Ovis aries: one gene and its partners. The protein of the gene in region 1 purifies or fractionates together with the protein of each later gene. This does not show direct contact. Links are inferred from orthologs where the notes say so. Each region holds a gene or a part of one and is shown in the gene's direction. Other genes may lie near its edges.

Region 1 (4,312 bases):
TCACTTCATGGCAAATAGATGGGGAAAGAGTGGAAATAGTGGCTGCCTGTTTTTTCTGGGCTCCAAAATCACTGCAGATGGTGATTGCAGCCATGAAATTAAAAGACGCTTGCTCCTTGGAAGGAAAGTTATGACCAACCTAGACAGCATATTAAAAAGCAGAGACATTACTTTGCCAACAAAGGTCCATCTAGTCAAGACTATGGTTTTTCCAGTAGTCATTTATGGATGTGAGAGTTGGACTATAAAGAAAGCTGAGCGCAGAAGAATTGATGCTTTTGAACTGTGGTGTTGGAGAAGACTCTTGAGAGTTCCTTGGACTGCAAGGAGATCCAACCAGTCTATCCTAAAGGAGATCAGTCCTGGGTATTCATTGGAGGGACTGATGTTGAAGCTGAAACTCCAGTACTTTGGCCACCTGATGCGAACAGCTGATTCATTGGAAAAGACCCTGATGCTAGGAAAGATTTAGGGCAGGAGAAGGGGATGACAGAGGATGAGACGGTTGGATGGCATCACCGACACAATGGACATGGGTTTGGGTGGACTCCAGGAGTTGGTGATGGACAGGGAGGCCTGGTGCACTGCAGTTCATGGGGTCACAAAGAGTCGGACACCACTGGGCGACTGAACTGAACTGAGATGCCATTCTATATCTCTATACTCCCTGCTCCACAGAAACTATGACACTAGCTTCTGCTTAGGCTTCTTCAGGGAGCTCACTACCTTACAAAGTAGTCAAACATAACTGAACTGCGCTGGAAAAATTAATTCGTCTTCATACTGAACCAAGAGCTGCACACTGTAACTTCTACCCATTGATCTAAATTCCCCAGAGCAAAATGGGGAAAAAACAAAACACTTTCCTTCCTTTGTGTAGCAACTCTTCATTTCTCTGAAAACTGTTTCTAACTTTGAAATGCAAACGATTTATGGGGAGAAATGCAGATGACTTGCCATGCAAATTATTTTTCAGTGCATTGTTATAAAGATATATTCTGCCTACCTCATCCCAAATACGCCAGTCATCTAAATGCAGATGCTAAATTCCAGACAAGCAGCACTGGTATTAATCTGCACGACTTTGCAAAGACAAGAGTTATTGTATAAAAATATATTGAAGGAAACAGCAGAGTCTTTTGGAAAGAGCACTTCAGTAAGAATCAGAACTCTTAGAAGTGGCTGGTAGCCTGTCTTGCACTCCAACTACCTGTGTATCCTTGGGCAAGTCACTTAACCCCTCCCTCTGAACCCCATTTCTGATCTGTAAAATGTGACAGAACCTACCTCACAGAGATGCAGTGAGGATCAAATGCCGTCCTGTTCGTAAAGCTTCTAGCCCAAGCCTGACACAGGACAAATTCTTATTACAGACTAGCTCTGGGGCTCAGCAAGCCCAGCGTCTCATTCGATGCGCTCGGCGCTCTTGCACCAGCGGGATTCCCCTTCCCAAGCAGAGTCTGCGCTCTGGGCTCGACTGAGGCTCCCTGGTCGCTCGCGCTTTTCTCTCCTTCTCCAAGATGGCGGCGGTCGGCGGCGCTGAGGCGGGATCCGGGCGAGCCTAGTGAAGGTAGCGGCGAGCGGAGCCCCCACGAGGCCGAGCTAGGCCCCCACCCCCAGGCGGCAGCGGCCCCGCCCCGCCGCCACCCGCCGCCTCGGGCCGCGACACCGCCCCGAGAGCGCCCCGGGCCCTTCGCGGCCTAGCCCAGGGGCCGAGCCGGGGACTGGAGTAGCGGCCGCAGTCCGCCCCCGGGAAGGGGCTGGAGCGGGCCGAAGGAGGAAGGCGGGCGGGAGCTGTTCAAATGGGGAAGGCGGGAAAGTGCGGGCCGGGAGGGGGCGTGCGGCCGCCCCGGGGGCCCGCGGGCCGAGGCCGCCCCTCCCCCTGCCCGGCCGTCTCCGCCCTCGGGGGCGCCTGGAGCCGCCGGGACGCGGGAACCCGGGTCGCGGCCGCCTTGCGGCTCAGGACCTGGAACACAGGGTCCCCGGGCTGTCAAGGGGCAAGGGAGCCGGGGTGACGGGAGGGCCGGGGCGCGGCTGGCAGGAGTGGATGCGACGAGCTTTCTTTTTTTTCCCCTCTTCGCCCAGCTTTGTTGAACTAGCTGTTGCTGCAAAACTGCCAAGAGAATCCCGTTGGTTTGCCGTGGGGACCACAAAAATGGTGGTCTTGGGGGCTCTTTGTAGCAATAACCTGTGTGGTATGTAATCTTTGCGTGCGACCCAGTTTGAACGTGCCTTCCTTAGTGGGATCTGCTCCATCCAGACCCATTTCCCCCCCAAAGCTGTTGCTAGTAGATTTCACTTAATTTTTCTATCGGGCAGAAGAGGAGAACCATCTTATCTCTCTGCTACCTGATGGCTAAGTTGGTTGCTGATTATATTACCCCATAGCAGAATTTAAAAACAAAAACCACTGAATCTAGAGTAGAGCCTGTTGATTGGATAAGGCTTGTCAAAATTTGTACCGCTGGGTTTTTTTGGAAATGTGTGTTGTCAGCAGATCTGTGTGGTGGTCGTGGTTCCGCTCAATTGCATCCCAATGAGAGGATTCAATCCCCAACCCTGGCTGCCGGGATCTCTGCAGTTTCCAGAGCTGGCAGGGGCTGTGAGTGCTGCATAGGTAGGTTCTTGGAGAAGGGAGTGGCAAGAATTCCGAGTCTCTGCGTCCTGAGATTGGAGGAAATTTGGGCGAAAATGAGAAGGCATCCCCTGCTCCTATCCTCAAAGTAACAACAGCAGCAATTCAGAAACTGGCAACAGCTGTATGTGCATCTTCCTTTTCCTGCACCGACTGGCAGCTTGAGTTCCTGAAAGAAGGGCTGGAAGAAGAGAACGTGGATCTTGAAAATCTTGAACAAGACTTGCCTCTTGAACTGGACCCGCGCCTCAGGACTTCGCGTACTGCCTCGGGTTTCCGAGGCTTTCTTTGTCTTTTTCAAAACACACTTACATTTTGGGATGAAGAAGCTTGCTAGTGAATGCTGGGGCTGAGATGACCTCAAAACACCATCTTCTGAAACTTTTTTTCCAAAGTACTTTTAATTTAGGCTTTCAAAATAACAAAGTACTATGTCTGATGATTTCCCCTTTTTTCCTGATTGCTTTGATAACTCCGAAAGCAAAGCCTAAACATCACCCTATACTTACCTACAAGTGGAAGAGTAGCTCTGTCTCCTTTTTCATCTCTTGAAGAGAAGTCCACAAGTTTGATAATTTTCACCTTCCAAAAGTACACATTTTTCATGATGGCATGTTTCTTACTTCCACAAACAACATAAATAATGAACTTTTACTTCTGTTGTCATTTCCTAACCCACTGAAAGGAACATAATTGTAAAATTATCCTGCCTCTTGAAGTTGACAATTTTGAATTCTGTACACACCAAAATTTATGGAGTTCCGGAGAATGAGCTTTAAACATCTAAATGAGTTTTTACATTTGCCAACATTTAATGTAATTATGGCCTCTATTTTCTAATGTGAATATCCAGCCTAATATTTTTCAATTTCATTAATCCTCACAATCTGCTGCCTAAGCCTGGACTCTGAATTTATCATGGATAATGTTCAAGACCTGGAAAGAACATCAGGAGAGTTATCTTATATAAATGTTGCCCTAACTTTGCCTTTCCTCCACACTGTTGCTTGAGACTTCTTTATCTGGTTTCATCTTCCTTCTATGAGTCAGCATCCAAAACTAACTCCTGGGTTGCAATAATATCCTCACTTGAAAGAACCTAGAAGTTCAGGGTCCATCAGTCTGCCCAAGCTGTGAGTGAGTGAGACCATTGTATCTAATTTTAGTTTTTTAAGCTCTTGACTGTCCCAGTTCTTTACTGAGTTGGACTTGCCTTCAGGCCCCGTTTATTTTTTACCATAGGTTATTTAATCTTGTAATTTATAAAATGCTCCTCCTGTGTCTTTAGAAAAATTAAATAATAGCAGACCTAATTGTAATACAAAATGCCAGCACCAGCACACGTTTTCTGTGCTGTTCTGTGCCTCTGAGGACCAGCCCCTAATTTTCTGTTCCCTCGTACAGTTTTTTCATCCACTGGTTGTTTTTCAAAGCAGTCAGTTAAGAGACCGTGAGTGCCTTTTCATAGTCCAGTAAGTGACATCATTGTTTTCTTTCTGGAGCTGTCTTCAGAGCTACTTATTCCTATTCTGACTGTTAGTTGTTCAGCTCTGTTTTATGTTAGTTTTGATATTTCCAAAGGGAAGGCCTGGTTATAAGTCTCAGGACCTGCCTTCACTTCATACAGAAGAGCATTTTGTTCTTGACCACAGATTGGTGGCCGCATTGGCGTTGAAT
Region 2 (4,111 bases), on another chromosome or scaffold:
ATTTTTCCAGATCTCAACTTAAAAATTATCATTTGATCAGTTAAAAGTTTGCAGGCTACAGATTCAAAGGAGAGCTCTTCTATTTGAAATTCAACATAATCAACAGTTTGCTCAAATCTTAACTCTTGAAAAGTGTGTCTCCGCTATTCAATACATACTGATAGAATACTGGATATGGGGATACAAAGATGGATAAGAGCCTGTGCAGGGCAGATAACAATTCACAGCAGTACGATTTTCTATTGAGTAGAACACGATGTTCTTGATAACCTGCAGCAGATCCGTGCGCAAGACCCACAGGCTATGTTGAGGACAGTGGAAGGCGTAACCACTGGAAATTATTCGAAGTATTTCTTAAGGAGAAAGAAATGCACAGCAGTCTGTACATTTTAATATTTAGTGGTTGAGCAAAAGATACAGCCCATGGCCTCTCTTATCTACCGATTATCTATGACTCTTATCTATGACTCTCATTCACATGGTGATGGGCAGTTTGCTTATGTTTAGCACGTAAATTCAGAGAAAATATCGTTTAACTCTGTAAGAGAAGTAGAAGGAATTTAGAAATGATTCTTATAGCTAACGTGTAGACAAAAAAATATTACACCAACGGGCCCTTTTGTTTAGACAACAAAACCTAAGAGACGTCAACTGGGATAACTAAACCATCTTCAACACATTGGCGTCACACCTATGAGCGGCGGCAGCGAAAGTGTTAAGGCCTGCACAGGCCTCTATACTGCAGTAGGCGGCGCAAAACCTGGGCAAGTTTTCTGGGAGTGCCGCAGATCCCTGCCAAGCAGAGCAGACCAGGCGCCGGTGGACCCTGAGCCGTTAAGAACGCCTGGAAGACAGCGCTCGCGTCATGCCGGGAAGCCGACGGACAAACCTACGTCTCCAATCTCTCCCTCGAGGCCCCGCCCATTCCTTACCCAAGAGCTCTCTGGGGCCTCGAAGGAGGCGTGGCCCAGGGCAAAGAGGGGAGAATGCGCATGCGCACTCGGAGCCCAGTCATGTAGCCAACTATCAATCTCGCGAGTGTTGATAGTCGGTGGCGTAGGTAGTAGAACTGAGTGCTGGCGAGATAGATGATATCTACCAGAGGAAGAAGAGGAGGCAGCTAAGCCAGTTCCCAGTCTCTGTCCCTCCTTTGCTTTCCTTTCTTTTTCCCTCAACCCTCCGCCCTCCTGTGAATCAGCCCGCCTTCCCTGACCTCAGTGACCCGAGTGGCCCCGCCCACTCTCGTCGACGTGATTCCCGCCGTGGGGTAAAGCGCCGGTCGAACCCGGAGCCCCGCGGAAGAGGAGGGCGACCAGAGGGGGAGGTTGCTGGGCCTGGTTTGGGCTCGTCGCCGAGCCGCGGCGCAGGGGGCTTTCGGGTAGTCCTCTCGCTTCTCCATCTGCTCGTTGCGACGCAGCCACCCAGGCCTAGGCCTCCTCCTCCTCCTCCCTGCCGGACCCGGCCTCTGGCAGCAGCGGGTGACGCAGACGGAACATCATGTCGTCCGCGGCCGACCCTCCGCCACCCCCGCCTCCCGAGAGCGCGCCTTCCAAGCCCGCAGCCTCGGCCGCCGGCAGCGGGAGCAACAGCAGCAACAAAGGCGGCCCCGAGGGCGTCGCAGCCCAGGCGGCTCCCTCCGTGGCCAGCGCCGGCCCCGCGGACTCGGAGATGGAGGTGAGGGCGGCTCGTGGTGTGGAAAGAGGGCAGGATGGGGAGGAGGAACTGGTTCCCTCGCCTCTGTACTAGTGATGAGACGCAGAGCCAAACTTCACCCCTTCGCACTCCAACACGGCCTCAGACCGTTTGGGTCGGAAATGATGCTCTCACCCTTGCGCGTAAGCAATCCAGGCAACCTCAAGTGGATTTCTGGCACTTCACGTTTATATTATTTGTCTCTTTGGCGAACCTTGCCAAATCCTCGAACGCTCTTATTAGACACATGTTCTTGATTACTGAGGCCGAGTGAAGATCTACCCTTTTTTTTTTTTTTTTTAAGCTGGACTCCCATAATTCCCTCGCTCATCTCTGAATCTCGATTTTACTTTCCGCTAAACTTGGGGAGAGGGCGAGGGAAATTTCCCTCTAGGTACGGGGGTAGACAGGCGGGGTGGGGAAGGCATTTAAAAGCAGCGCATCCGAGGGCTTGGGCCTCCTTTTCTTCATCCCGTTCTTTGCGGGGGCGGTATCTGTTTCGCAGAAACAATGGCGAGGGCTGGATGGCCGAGGGCGCAGTGGGGATAAGCGGGGCACAGCTGCTCCCTCGGAGGGAGAGGAGGCTCCTCCCAGGCACTGTTCCGTGGGGAAGGGAAGCGACCACGGCGGCAGCAGCTGTCTTGAACCCCCATTTCATTTTGTGGGGGGAGTGATGGATGGATGGATGAATGAATTAGTGAGTGAGGGGCGGTTAGTTTGCTTACAGACCAGCGCATTTCCTCTTTGGGGGCCTTGGCCTTATTTTGAAAATTGGTACCGTTCTCTATGGCTCCCTACCTTCTGGGCTGGGGCTGGTGGGTCAGGGAATGGTAACAGTACTGCGAGGGTGGAGAGATTGGGGAACTGCCAGGCGGGTCTTTTGGGTGTGCTCCAAGGTTTTGCGATGTCTGGGAACAAAGTGTTGCTTGCTCCTTCCAATTTTATTCTTGGCCTTCGATCTGTTTTGAGATATTTTATAGTCGCAACCCAGAGATTTCTGGAATTTTTCCATCCTTGGATAGATTGAGCAAAGGTAATACTGCTCTGAAAGGGAATGTTGCTGCAGAATTAACACGATAAGGAAATGGCAGGGCAGTTTACCATAGAGCATTTGGCTCAGTAGTTTTATTTGGGTGCTGTACTAGGTCATAAGTCAGTTCAGTGGAGTCCTACTCTGTGTAACTAGCGGCCTTATCTAGGGTGAGGTAACGTGTTATTAGTTTTTGAAAGAACTTTAAAGGTAAGGGTGGGTTTTGGTGGAATAGGACCTCTGGTATTCTATAGCTTTCAGCGACTTGAAATTTGTTTTCAGTTCATGTCAGTGTTGCTTGTTTTCTTTTTCTTTAGGTTTTAAATGATTGTTTTGAATTGCTAGGGTTAACTTGGATTCCCGCTTCCTTGTTTAAGGGGCTTTGAAAGTTTGACACTGAAAGCAGTTGTGTTAAATACGCAGTTCTCAGGGCTTCCCAGGTGGCGCTAGCGGTAAAGAACCCGCCTGCCAGTGCAAGAGACAAAAGAGACGCGGGTTCGATCCCTGGGTTGGGAAGATCCCCTGGAGGGGAGGCATGGCAACCCACTCCAGTGTTCTTGCCTGAAGAATCCCATGGACGGAAGAGCCTGGCGCGCTACAAAGAGCCTGGCGAGGTGGCAGAGTCAGACAAAGCTGAAGCGACTGAGCACGAACCGCGCTTCTTTGCAAATTGCTGTCCACTGTTGTCAGCCTCTCAAAAGAGGCTATCATTCGAATTTTGGAGTAGCAGCCAAAGTCTCAGTCTCACTAGAAGTGTTAAGGAAATATCAGAAAGCGGAATAATTTAAAGCCTAAACTAAATGTTTTGCCTTTCAGTTGCTGTTTTTAAGGTGAAGTGGAATTAGAGTTTAACTATGAACAGTAATGTTGTAACAAGTACCAGCTGACTGTCAGTAGTATTTTTGCCAGATGGGGAAATTGAGTCTTCTTGTAAGTAGAATCTGTGATAGAACCCACATCTGGCTCTGAAGCTGACCCTTCCCCGAATATCTTTCCCTGTCATATTTTTACCAAAAATGTGTTGTTTAACAATTTCATTTATTGAAAAATGGCTTCATTATTTTTCCTTTTCTCAGGATAGTAACATCAGTGATTTTATCTTTTACCAGTCTTTTCACTGACTAGTTTTTGTTTTTTTCCTTCATATTATAGTATGGTTTTTTGTTTGTTTGTTTTTAAGCTGCATTTTTCCAAAATCATTTATTTTCTGACAAAGCCCACTTTCCTAGGAACATTAGTTAGCTTTCCTATGTATTAGGTTATTTCTTTTTTTTTTTTGCTTGGTATTGGTAGGTCATGGGAGCAGTCACATTTTTTAATTAGTATGATCTTTTTGGCAACCTGAATGGGGCCTGTCTTGGTTCATTCTCATTTCTCATACCTACCTGG
Region 3 (4,078 bases), on another chromosome or scaffold:
GAAGACGTCCCCTTCACGGAGAAAGATTTTGAGTAAGTGGAGAGGCAGGGGATGTGGTCAGAATTGGGGGCGGAGAATCGCAGGAGGCTAGACGCTTGGGCCGCGGTGGCTGGGAAACGGTGCTCTCTCTAGCACCCGGGAACAGTCTTGGGAGTCAGACTTCAGAGACCATCCTAAACCCACCGCTTTAAATGTGGCTGTTAAGAATTTTACTGGTGCTCGCTTCGGCAGCACATATACTAAAATTGGAACGATACAGAGAAGATTAGCATGGCCCCTGCGCAAGGATGACACGCAAATTCGTGAAGCGTTCCATATTTTTTGAGGATGCTCATAACACCTCCTTTATAGGGCTGTTATGAAAAATAAATCAGTTAATTCATAGAAAAAAAAAAAAGAATTTTACTGGATTTCTCTGTGCCTCCGTCCACCCCTGCAAAGTGGATGCTATAACAGAACTCTCCCCCAAAGGGTTATGAAGATTGAATAAGATAATACACATTAAAGCGTTTAGAAGGGTACAGGGCACATAGTAAGTGTTCCGTAAATGTGTGCTGTTAATGTTTCTGATATTTCTCTGCCTAATCCCCACCCCTAGGAATGGCCCCCAGAACATATACAACCTTTACGAGCAAGTCAGCTACAACTGTTTCATCGCGGCGGGCCTTTACCTCCTCCTCGGAGGCTTCTCTTTCTGTCAAGTTCGGCTCAATAAGCGCAAGGAATACATGGTGCGCTAGAGCACAGTGGCGCTCCCCCTCTCCAGCCCCCTCCTCTATTTAAAGACTCTCCCCAGGTCACAGCCCCCCGCCTCCCATTCTGGTGCCCTCTGCGGACTAGGTTTTCTTGGCGAGAGACTCAATCCCTTGTTCTCCAACCTCTGGCGCCCGGCTTCTGTGGAGGGAGGTTGGGGTTGGCCGTTCCCTGTCCCTCCGGCCCTCTCGCCTCGTCCCGTTCCACAATAAAGAGAAACTGCTCTCTTAAGACTTGTGTGTGTGTCTGGGTTAGGAGGCGGGTACCCGGGCTAGAGGTCGGTCTCCAAATAGGGAATCCCGACCCCTAGACGGAAGTGGAGTGAAACCGGGCCGGAAGTGAGGCGGTGTCTTCCACTCTCCTTCCCGCGCGCTGAGGCGGCCTGAGTAACCGCGGCTGGTGAGGCGGTGAGCGCCCGAACTGGAGCCAATCAGCTGCGGGAAGGGGCGGGACTTCCTGCGCGGGGGCTGGAGCCGTTGCACCGCCTCGCTCTTCGCGGTCCCGGCTCCGAGGTAGCGGCGGCGGCGGCGTCTCCGTGAGGAGGCGCGCGGGGCCATGACGTCAGCGTCCACAAAGGTTCGACCTCCCTCGCGGACAGCGCTCCCTGGCGGCCACGGGAGGGCGGGCCCCCCAGTTGGCTCGCGGCTCTTCCGTCCCGGGCGGGGGGCGGGCGGGAGTCCAACCTGGGGTGGGGCTAGGGGCTCCGGGCGGGACGGCGCGGGGCTGTGCGCCGGCCCCCCGTAACGCTGCCCCGCCCCCAGGTCGGAGAGATCTTCTCCGCGGCGGGCGCCGCCTTCACGAAGCTCGGAGAGCTGACGATGCAGCTGCATCCCGTGGCCGATTCTTCCCCCGCGGGGTACGTGAGCCCGGGCTGGGGACCTGGACGCTGAGATCAGACGCTGGGACTCGATCACAGACACCGACACTCTCTAGGGCAGGGACAGATGTTAGTTTCCCTTCGTGCCTGGCACAGCGCAGAGTAGATCTTAATAAATGATTATTGAATGAATGAATGACAGATAAACCACAGACTGAGGCTCGTAATCTGGACTCATTTTACAATTCTGTCCTGCTGCGCATTGGCAGAGCATAGACCATCACCACTACCCATTCACCCCAAATCATGTGGGATTCCATCAGATTGCAACAGATTGTGTTTAGGGGGTCTGTTGGTAAGACACCCCCCCACTTGTTGAATTAGTTTCAGTGGGCTGTTTACAGTAGCTGTTTCACGTTGATGGGGGAGCCGTTTTCTTCTAAGGTTGTTGCATTATCGTTTGGATGGGGGTCCTCAGGGTTCCCACAGGGCCTTAAGAATTTTTTTGCTTTTTTTGTTTGTTTTTTAAAGAGGACCTCTTTATGGAAGGGGCCCCGGACATTGCAGGGAGGAGGCTGGTTGCTGTGGAATGCGTAGCCTGTGGGCTGGCTCCACATCCCTCCTCTTCCCACTTTCGCTATTCCCCTCTCCCCTTCTGACAGTGCCAAGTGGACGGAGACGGAGATAGAGATGCTGAGGGCTGCTGTGAAGCGATTTGGGGACGATCTTAATCACATCAGCTGTGTCATCAAGGAACGGACAGTGTGAGGGAGGGCTGGCTGGCAGAGAAAGGGCGGGTGGGCAGCTTTCTTCCTCCATACCCATTTGTTCCATCTTCCTCAAACTCCCTTCCAGCTCAACATCTTTCCTACTCTGTGAGTCCCTTGAGAACTGAAAGAATAAAAGAATTGTCACAATTGGTCAGAAGTTACTAAAATGCTGTGGTCATCAGGACCTTACATGAATTTAATTTTAGGTTACCCAGTAGTTTAAGATACCCAATAGTTGAATTTGCTAATAGGAATTCCCTGGTTATTTATACAGATCTTTTGAACACTCCTGTGGTGTTTCCAGGGATATTATGATCCTGAACTAGTCGATCAGGATCTGTTAATAAGTTTCAATCTACCTGTAGGTCACCCAGGCTTACCTGGTAGTCTTCCACGTCCATACATCTCTCCCAAAAGAGAATTAGGGGGTGGGCCTTTCCCACTCCTCAGTTGAGGGACTCCACTCTTCACGCTCCATTTGCCCTCATTGGCTGCAAAGCTTCCAGGAAAACAAGAACCCTAGCAAAGGTCGTTGAGGCCCTCACCTGGATTCCTATGAAGGGGCTCCCCAGTGTTCCTTCAGAGTGGCCCATCTCCCCTGCCCCCACCCCCTTATTCTCTCAGCCTTTTTTATGACTCCCTTCCTAACTTGCTCTCTCGTCTCTTTAGGGCTCAAATAAAGGCCACTGTGAAACGAAAGGTATATGAAGATTCTGGTATCCCCCTTCCAGCCGATTCACCCAAGAAAGGGCCCAAGAAGGTGGCATCTGGTGTATTGTCGCCTCCTTCAACTGCTCCTCCACCAAGCAGCTCCAGTGTCCCTGAGGCCGGGGGTCCCCCCATAAAGAAACAGAAGGCTGGTGAGGGCTGTGGAGTTGCTGCCTGGGGATTAGATGTCCCATCCGCGGTTCAGTGAGAGAGTTGGGCTTTGGTCAGAGGACAGATCTCTTTTCCTCTCCCAGTGAAGGTTCCAGAAACTGGCTGGGGTGGGGAAGGGAGGGAAGGAGAAGTTGAAACTTTGGGAAGTGGGTGGGGTGGGGGGAGAACCATCAGGGAACCTAGAACCTAGCTTGTGCCCCCCTCCCAGATGTGACACTCAGTGCTCTGAACGACTCGGACGCCAACAGTGACCTGGTGGATATTGAGGGGCTAGGAGAAACTCCTCCAGCCAAGAAACTCAACTTCGACCAGGGTAGGAGTCCTCTTCCTCCCACAACAGCTGAAGGGATGGGGGATGGTAGGGAGGGTCTCAGCAGGAGCCCCCTCCTGTGAACTGGGGAAGAGAAAGTTCCCTGCTATGCATGCAGGGGTCAGGTCTGTAAGGAGCCAGGTGCTCTGGGGAAGCGGGAGTCCTACTTGGGACTCGCTCCATCTCGGCCCATTTTACTTCCTGTTCCAGACAGCCTGACCCTGGATTCTGGCCTTCTCTTGACCTCCGCTGATCCTCCTCTGCTCTCATGCTGAGCCTTCCACCTCTGACCCCTCTCACTGTTCACCCTGGACCTGTGGATCGCTTGGGACTCTGAGCAAGGCCTGCATGTGACAGGGTGGAAAGGCTGCCAGGGGCAGCCCACCTTGCTGTTCCCGTATGAGCATCTGCACCCCAACCCCTGGGTCCCCCCCCGCAACTGATGGACGTTTTTATACAGAAAACAATAAAGATCTCCCTCTCAGCCTGGTGCTTTCCGCCTGACATTACGGGAGTATGGGGGACACTTCTCTCTCAGCTTAGCCTCCG

Evidence for each region.
Region 2: the proteins of HMGXB4 (region 1) and SMARCA5 purify together in Homo sapiens (affinity purification with mass spectrometry; 3 studies listed by BioGRID and IntAct, with this or other methods). This does not show direct contact. The link is inferred for Ovis aries from reciprocal best matches to the Homo sapiens genes HMGXB4 and SMARCA5.
Region 3: the proteins of HMGXB4 (region 1) and C11H17orf49 purify together in Homo sapiens (affinity purification with mass spectrometry; 4 studies listed by BioGRID and IntAct, with this or other methods). This does not show direct contact. The link is inferred for Ovis aries from reciprocal best matches to the Homo sapiens genes HMGXB4 and BACC1.

What each region holds. Positions count from the first base shown.
Region 1 is NC_056056.1:179,123,012-179,127,323, forward strand, and holds the start of HMGXB4 (HMG domain-containing protein 4), read left to right. Parts: upstream 1-1,510; 5' UTR 1,511-1,570; intron 1,571-2,021; exon of another isoform or gene 2,022-2,085; 5' UTR 2,086-2,155; coding exon 2,156-2,195; intron 2,196-4,312. UniProt on the Homo sapiens protein: Negatively regulates Wnt/beta-catenin signaling during development.
Region 2 is NC_056070.1:14,460,726-14,464,836, reverse strand, and holds the start of SMARCA5 (SWI/SNF-related matrix-associated actin-dependent regulator of chromatin subfamily A member 5), read left to right. Parts: upstream 1-1,277; 5' UTR 1,278-1,497; coding exon 1,498-1,674; intron 1,675-4,111. UniProt on the Homo sapiens protein: ATPase that possesses intrinsic ATP-dependent nucleosome-remodeling activity.
Region 3 is NC_056064.1:26,689,231-26,693,308, forward strand, and holds C11H17orf49 (chromatin complexes subunit BAP18), read left to right. Parts: upstream 1-1,244; 5' UTR 1,245-1,308; coding exon 1,309-1,329; intron 1,330-1,514; coding exon 1,515-1,609; intron 1,610-2,232; coding exon 2,233-2,334; exon of another isoform or gene 2,335-2,461; intron 2,462-2,720; exon of another isoform or gene 2,721-3,009; coding exon 3,010-3,200; exon of another isoform or gene 3,201-3,427; coding exon 3,428-3,532; exon of another isoform or gene 3,533-3,739; coding exon 3,740-3,804; 3' UTR 3,805-4,013; downstream 4,014-4,078. Other genes in the region: RNASEK (ribonuclease kappa), read left to right, coding at 1-32, 599-740. UniProt on the Homo sapiens protein: Component of chromatin complexes such as the MLL1/MLL and NURF complexes.